Linked DNA regions of Daphnia pulex. The main gene of each other region encodes a partner of the protein of the gene in region 2 in a complex. Links are inferred from orthologs where the notes say so. Each region holds a gene or a part of one and is shown on either strand. Other genes may lie near its edges.

The links.
Region 1: COP9 signalosome complex subunit 7b-like (region 2) and COP9 signalosome complex subunit 3-like share a complex: the UniProt entries of both Drosophila melanogaster proteins name them as parts of the CSN complex. The link is inferred for Daphnia pulex from reciprocal best matches to the Drosophila melanogaster genes CSN7 and CSN3.

What each region holds. Positions count from the first base shown.
Region 1 is NC_060018.1:6,888,358-6,892,476, reverse strand, and holds COP9 signalosome complex subunit 3-like, read right to left. Parts: upstream 2,590-4,119; 5' UTR 2,485-2,589; coding exon 2,430-2,484; intron 2,352-2,429; coding exon 2,079-2,351; intron 2,019-2,078; coding exon 1,801-2,018; intron 1,735-1,800; coding exon 1,540-1,734; intron 1,471-1,539; coding exon 1,159-1,470; intron 1,095-1,158; coding exon 981-1,094; intron 914-980; coding exon 734-913; 3' UTR 616-733; downstream 1-615. Other genes in the region: evolutionarily conserved signaling intermediate in Toll pathway, mitochondrial-like, read left to right, coding at 2,989-3,439, 3,502-3,954, 4,030-4,119. UniProt on the Drosophila melanogaster protein: Component of the COP9 signalosome complex (CSN), a complex involved in various cellular and developmental processes.
Region 2 is NC_060017.1:4,235,265-4,238,926, reverse strand, and holds COP9 signalosome complex subunit 7b-like, read right to left. Parts: upstream 2,231-3,662; 5' UTR 1,944-2,230; intron 1,872-1,943; 5' UTR 1,843-1,871; coding exon 1,678-1,842; intron 1,619-1,677; coding exon 1,454-1,618; intron 1,352-1,453; coding exon 1,264-1,351; intron 1,202-1,263; coding exon 948-1,201; intron 883-947; coding exon 751-882; 3' UTR 622-750; downstream 1-621. Other genes in the region: chloride intracellular channel exl-1-like, read left to right, coding at 3,154-3,189, 3,258-3,317, 3,386-3,470, 3,547-3,641. UniProt on the Drosophila melanogaster protein: Component of the COP9 signalosome complex (CSN), a complex involved in various cellular and developmental processes.

The DNA.
Region 1 (4,119 bases), on a different chromosome or scaffold from region 2:
TTATGCGGACTTTCTCGAAGCGCAGAGAAAGAGAGAGCAGGCTCACACAGCCTCCTTTTTGTATTTTTCCCGTCTGCATTTTTACCGGTCACCAATGTGGGACAGACAAAGTTCATTGGAATGCGCACATCTTTTCTCTTTTAATGTCCTTCCTTTATTTACAACCTTTCTCCTACTTATTCGTCTACTAGGCCACTTAGCAGACACACATCTCCGCCTGCCTCCAAACAGTTTGGCGTTTTTCGTTTTTAATCTTATCACATCAATGCGCGCGCGCCCTCTATCTCTTGGTGGTAGACACTCCTCGAAGTTGGGGCTCTCCATTCATCCGCCGTTGGACCAAGCAAACAGTATCCAGTCGGCTTCGGCCATGTGTGGGTGTGTTGCTCTACCGACAGTGTGAATTTTCGGCTTTTAAACCTCGAGACTAGTTTTCTCAGTGATCTGCCAGATATTGTTTGAATTTCTGAGATCATTGTGAAAGCTGATTTTGTGGATGGCCTCGACTAGATGCATAGACAGACTGTCTGACTTTGGAATTTATGTGTGTTGGAAATCGTGTACAGTTTTATGTGTGATGTTTATCAATACAATTTTTGAAAAAAAAAAACTAAATTTTTGTTTTTAATCCGTGTATGAATCCTCACTTAGTTATTTAACAAAAAAATGTGAAAGTAATTATTTTATCGAGACGTTATGGATTAGTTGGTGTTTTAAAGAGCATCATAGGTGATCACATGGAGAAGGAGGGAACTTTGGTTGCCGCACCGGCCTGAAGGGCTGACGAAGCTGAACTCCTCCCTCCATCGTCCTCTTCCATGGCACCTGACGCCTTCTTCACGAAAACCGGGTTCGTGCAGATGGCTTCCTCCATCTTCTGCACCTGCATGTCCAGCTCGATGCAAATGTTGACCTACCCAAACGAGTAGCCATGAGGTCAATTATCTGGTACACATTTCTGCCGGCTACTATCGAAATACCTCTTTCTGAACGCGCTCAACAGTTGAAGTGCTGTCGTATTTGTCCGGATTGTCGTGAAACAATACCATCCCGTCTTTCTGGCTAATGCTGGCGTAAATATCCCCATCTTCAATCTTTTGAAGAAGAAAACAAACACATAGTTTGATCGTCATCTTTTAGCATCTTGAAAGCAAATACCATGGTCAAGACGAGTTTTTCCGCTTCCATCACGCTGGGCAACTGAACTCGCAGGGCCATATCGCTGAGCGAAAGCGTCAGAAAAGTCTGAGTCAGTCGCTGAATAATCTTCTTGTAGAGCGATTGTTGTACTTGTTTGGCCAGACCCCAGTTATTTTCACGCTGTAACAATTCTCGGTGCTTTTGGAGGACAAGTTCCAGTGACGTCGGCTTGTTGGTAGCAAATACCGTCGTGATTTCGTGGTAGATGGCGCTCATGGGTTTCAGGAGCCGATTAACCACTTGAGATGTGTATTTGGGAAGAGGTGCCACCTAGTCTCGTTTCAAATGACAATGTGAATCGGAAATTGAACGAACATTGCGCGACTATTTGATCCATACCTTTCCATGAAGAATGAGTGAGACGAGAATGTACTTTTTGTACGATTCCAGCATGATGTGAGATACGGCTGAAGATGGTGTCGTCAAAGCTACTTCGAATGAATACAGGGCTCGCTCAAAGTTTTTGACAGCCATGTTGATAACTCCCCCATAGTAGTAGTAGAGCAAGAAATGCTTGGCATCAAAATATCCATTCTACAAACACATTTGTCATTAGAATTTTCTGTAATCAGTGCACTAGAACCTGAAAAAGCAATTTACCTCTGAATTGATTTCAGAAATCTCAACATTCAAAAACTCCAAGGCAGGTTTTAAATTCTGTGCCATCAAACAGAGTTGGAGAAGGCTAGCGTGGATAGACGTCAGCTGTGTTTCATTCATTCTGGCTTTCCGAATAGCTTTGGTAAGGGGAACAATACCCCTGGCAGGTGTCTCTCGTTCCACTAGGCATTGGGTAAACTGGTTACACAGCTCAGCGACTGCACAGAACAATTTATTATGAATTATTCAATTGTAAGAGTGCAATATTAGAAGCTTACATGAGTCAGGAGCACAGCGAATTTGTTCACCATTGCAAACTGTGATGAACTGACTGACTTGACTGATGAGCACTTCGGGTTCTGGAACTTGAATTCCTTGATTTTGAGCTGCATTTTGGTTGAGAATCATGAACTTTACCATGTAAATTGCCAAAACACCTAGACTGTGAAGTTGTGGGTCAAGAGTATCCAGAACAGTGTCTAAATGTTCGGAATTCCTCATGAGTACGTCGGGCGACTTGCCGAGAAAATCATATAGTTCTCGCCAGCTTCCTATCAGTTTGATACATAGAAAATTGAATATTTTTAGTGTCCACAAATTATGAAATACAACTGTCGTTCAAAACAAACCTTCGCCAGAGAGATTACGAACAGAATTTACAAAATGTTCTAGGGATGACGCCATATTCAAATTTGAAGAATATTAGATTGAAAGATATTGAATTGAAGAGAGAAATATTTGGATGAGCCAGCAAACGTCGTCTGCAGTTGTCTTTATTCGTTGATAAACGCGCCAATAGAGGGTATATTCGTAGATGCAAGTAGCACCACTGGCGGGTGGCGGCAGGATCACACAAACACTTTTACTGAATAATTTAAAAACAAAATGAACATAATTATAAGCGAAATAACCGCGATTTAATTTTATTCTAATTTGATGATGAATAATCGAAAGTAATCAAGTTTTTAATCAAATAAGAAACTTTTTTTATGAATCCCTGCCATCTATCATCAATGAAGTTGAAATTTTAGCAGACGTTAAAAGTTGAAAGAGGAAAAAAACAATAACAAATCCCATTTTCGCCTACTCTTGAATTTGTTGTGACAATTCTATGTATTTCTGGTATTTTTACAAATAGTTCGAATTTTGTTGATTATTTTCCTGCTTTGAATAGCCATTAGTATTATAATGGCAGTAAAATTTGGTTTAAGTTTGAATCGAATTCTCCAAAGAGCCTTACCTCAAGTTCATAATTGCAAGCTACTGCCATGCTTACAGATCCGTCACATTCATATAAATAGTCTTCATTTTAAAAATAAAGAACCCAACGAACTGATTGTTAGACCTTCTATGTTTTATGTTCCAGAAGGAGATAGAAATAAAGACACATTCTTAGAAGCTGTAAAAATTTACACAACAAGACCAGGGCCCCGTAGGGCACAAGTGGAATTCATCTATGCTGCTCTGAAGGAAATGGAAGAATTTGGTGTGCATCGTGACCTGGAAGCATATAAAGACATCATTGATATATTACCAAAGGGAAAATATATTCCAACAAATATGTTTCAAGCAGAATTTATGCATTATCCAAAACAACAGCAATGTATAATAGATGTTCTGGAACAGATGGAAAACAATGGTTAGAATATCTTTGCCTCAAATCAGTTTAAATTATTTTATGTGTTTTTATTTCATTTTTAGGTGTTTGTCCAGATAAAGAAACTGACCAAATGGTTCTTAATATTTTTGGTCGCCATGGAGCTCCCACCAAAAAACTTAGAAGGATGGCTTATTGGATGCCTAAGTTTAAAAACCAATCTCCATGGGCACTCCCCCAAAAGATTCCTAACTCAAATCTTGAAATAGCAAAACTTGCTGTCCAGAGAATGGGTAGTGTTGATCCAGCTACAGAGATGAACATTTTTCAGACTAGTGAGTTGCAAGACGCCATTGACGATACTTGGATCGTCAATGGTCAAAGCGCCAATCAAAGAGACCTTTTAGCCAAACTCAAAGAAAAGCAAACCGTCTACGTTGAAGGCGCTTTCACAATTTGGTTAAGAAGAACCAGTATAAATTACTTTATTTTGCGTTCTGAACCTGTTCCGTTAACGGAAGAAGAGCAGAAACAGCAGAATGAATATGATTATGATGGTATGTGTACTGAAACAGTTTAGTTTCAATTTTCTTCATTCTAGTTTTCTAATTTTATTCTTCGATTTGTTCAAGATGTAAGTGAACTGCGTTCGTGGATGTTTGGGGAAGAAAATCTTACTCGGAAAGATATCGTTGTTCAACCTTCAGTTCATGAACAAGAAG
Region 2 (3,662 bases):
ATAACTTACTGAAATAAAAATCTCGTTGGTAACTGGTTGTTGTACAGATCACGTGATCAAATGACTCGATGATTACAAAACGGACGCACCCTTCGTGTGCTTCGGGACTACAGCGGCAATACAAATCTAAAAACTGAGAGAGCCCTCTACCGTACTCATCCAGTAGTACGAATAGTAGGTAGCGCATCTAAATTGATTGCGTTCAACGATGCGTGCGTGAATTGCGCTACTCTAAGCCAAAAAGCATGTGACATCACAGGGTTAGAAGAGAAAAGTCTGCTGGTCATCAGAATAGGGGAAGAGATCACAAAAGGGATTACATACATCGAGAAAGTTACCTACATGGCAGAACGGTACTTCAAAGCTCAAAGTCAGCGTCTGGAACAAATGAAAATACTGTGACGAAATTGTTGCGCAATCCAAGCTTTTTTGTTTTCCATTTGAAAATAGCGTGAAGATATGTACACAACTGTTATTTGGTTTCATGACTGAATCTCTTTACTGCATTTAAAATGCTTGTACAGCTACCTAAAATTTGAACAAGAAAAACCGCCAAGTTCCGAGTTCCTAGAAATAGACATTGGCCTTGGCGGATGATGAATATCAATGCTCGTCAGCAAGTGCAGTTAAAGAAATTTTCTTTATTTATTTCATTGCGAACACTCTTTGAGACAACAATACCATGGGTGAATCAAGTCCAATGCTTTCAGGGATAAGTGAATACAAACATTAAGGAGTAATTACAAATTTTCAGGATTTATTCCAAAACTTATTTGGAACATTGGTCTTCAATCCTTTTCCCTTGGCAAGCTTCTTACCTTTGTCACCTAACATTTCATTGCGCGTTTCACCAGTAAGAGATATATCATCGCTTTCCTGGATCTGTCAAGTTTCAAGCATTCAGATTTAGTTTTAAGAATTTCAAATAATTGTAGTGCTAGATATACTTGGGATTTCAAGGTTTTTTTAATATTCAAAACTTCCTCCTCGATAGCGACACGATGCTTGATATGCTTTTCCTTTTCACAATTTGCATTCATGACTTGGGTTTCAACGGCTCCGAGAATTGCATCACATGCTTCACACCAATCGTTCAAAGTTTGAATGATTCGGCCAATGTCTTTGACTTGAGCATCTCGACCAATTGCAAAATCAACTTCCAAACGACCGTTACGCTGGTCTAATTTCCCATGAATAACGTCTGAAAGAATAATTGTTGATGATAAAATCAAGATGTATTAATTAATAATTTTGGTGGCAAACCTCCATAGATGGCTTCAATGACAAGATCTTCAAGTTCTCTGAGATTCTTCATATCAAGTTGTTGGACCAACACTTCATATGGAATGCACTAAAATTGAAACAACAATTAATAAAAACAAACTACAGTAGCTGTGAACTTTAACTTAAGATGCCATTGATGACTGCATGCAACAATGATAGCAATACTCACTTTGTTGGTTTCAGATAATGTCACAATTGTTAAGTGTCTCAGTTTCTGCTGCTGAAATGGTGTTAGCTCGGGCAATGAACTACTGTTTTCAAGATATTGTCTGTATGTTCCAAAGGCAAATAATTTCAGCAAATTGTAGTAAGGTTGAAATTGATCAGTTTGAAGCTAGAAAAAAATATGCATAAATGAGAAAATTTCATCGATTAAACATAAAAAAAATTCACCTCTGTAATATTGGGCATGTCGAGTAGTTCACCAAACACATAAACGCCAGGAGCTTCTAAAGCCTGCTTTACTAATTCAACAGCTGCAGCCCCTTTAGCCGACTTTGCTAACAGTACAAACTGTTCAAGGGGGTTGAAACTGGTAGGTTTAGTGTCAGTCGTCATATTCGGCACCACAATTTTCGCATAAATGACTATTGAACCAGAAATGAGACAGTTATTCTTACATTTGCGGAAAAAAATGATAAAATGTAAGCTGTATTTACCAAAAGATCTTCTTTAATAACCTACTACAACGTCTGATAGCATAGCCAAGGTATATTGTATAGAAGAATGAGATTCACTGTAGTCTGTAAGCAGTCCGCGCAACTTATTCGGAGCTTCTAAAATATGGTTGCGCGGAAACAGAAACAATGGGAATGGGGAATGCATTTCAAATAGTTCAAAACTACTAGGGCGCAAAAATAAAAATTAATCGTATTCACTATTCAGCAGTACAAATAACTTTAGTTTCATTTTATAATGTGACTTAATGTTGTAGTAAGCTGTGTTTAGTAAGTTTAGCAACATTGTCACTTTTGATTGTGCGATAATAGTTAAAACAGAGCTGGTTAGGTTTGGTTGCTTTAGATCAGGTCAGAAATACTATAATTAATTCTTTAAAAAATTCAAACTTTTACAAAAGTGTCCGGATGGGGAGAATAAGTAAAGTGCGGAGAATCCGCACCTCAATCTCGCACTTTACCAGTCAATTCCGCCTTCCGCACCCCATCCCCCCCCCCTCAACGGATGAACTAATTATTCACATATTTCGGCTGTGGGTTGAAAGCAAAAAAAGTACAATAAACAATAACATGAAAAAGGTCGAGTCAAACCAGCACAAATGACAGCATGTGAAAAAACAATTCCGACTTGAAAGCCGAAAAAAGACTTGCGGGTTGCGGATGGCAAAAGAGAGAGGGGGGATGGATGGTTAGGAAGAGAAGTGAGTGAAAGTTTTTAGATAAAAAAAGAACTGGGAAACAGCATTTGTTGTGGTCCCTCGGGCTTATTTCATGTTGAGCGTCGGTTAGCTGCTAGTATATGGGCAGATAGAGCCTTTAGTCTCGTGTTTTTGGTGCCGAGCATTCTTCTTGTGTTCACCACTGCGAATTTCAGACAGTGTCGCAAGCTTCAACACCCGTATCTTTGCTTCTTTATTGGTTCTACTTCGACATTGTGCTGACTGCTGATATTAGAAAACGGTTCATTTAGTTAGTGTGCATGTTTAGGGCGGCCAAAAATAAACCTGCTGGAGACTGTTGGTTAAATTTTGGCTTATTCGGGTTTTAGAAGTGTGAGTTTCTCATCGCGGCTGTACAGCAGCTGCCAGACTATTTCATATTTCCTTACGGGTGCTTTACGTCTGCGTACTTGGTAAATACAAGAGTGACTTCCCTTGTAAATAAATCTGAAATTTTGAGCGCAGCGGAAAAAATGAGTTTAGATGTTCAAAGTTCACAACAAATGATGGTAAGGGTTCTGTTTTTACCAGTTTGCTTCATTTTTTATTTTCCGATGACGTCATTTTTTGTTGCTAGGTGTTGTACGTCAAGGCGGGAGCAGACGGAAAGCGCTACGGAGCCTGTCCATTTTGTCAGGTTCGTTGATTTCTTAGTTAAATGGGGATCTGGATTACGTTAACAAGATTTTATTACAATTATTACAGAGAGCCTTCATGGTAGTATTGACGAAATCTCTACAGCATCCCTTCCACTTCAGATCCGTCACCGTAAATTTAGCTAAACCACCAGGTACACGATCCGTAGTTGGGATAAATTCGCATAAACTTTTATGGACTAAAAATAAATGTATAACTTTTTTCCAAAGAAATTTTTCATCAACGCGGATTGCGCCGTGTTCCGTCCCTTGAAGATGGAGACCAAGTGATTGACAACATCGATGATATCGTTTCTTATTTGGAGGTAATCGTATTAGTTGGAATT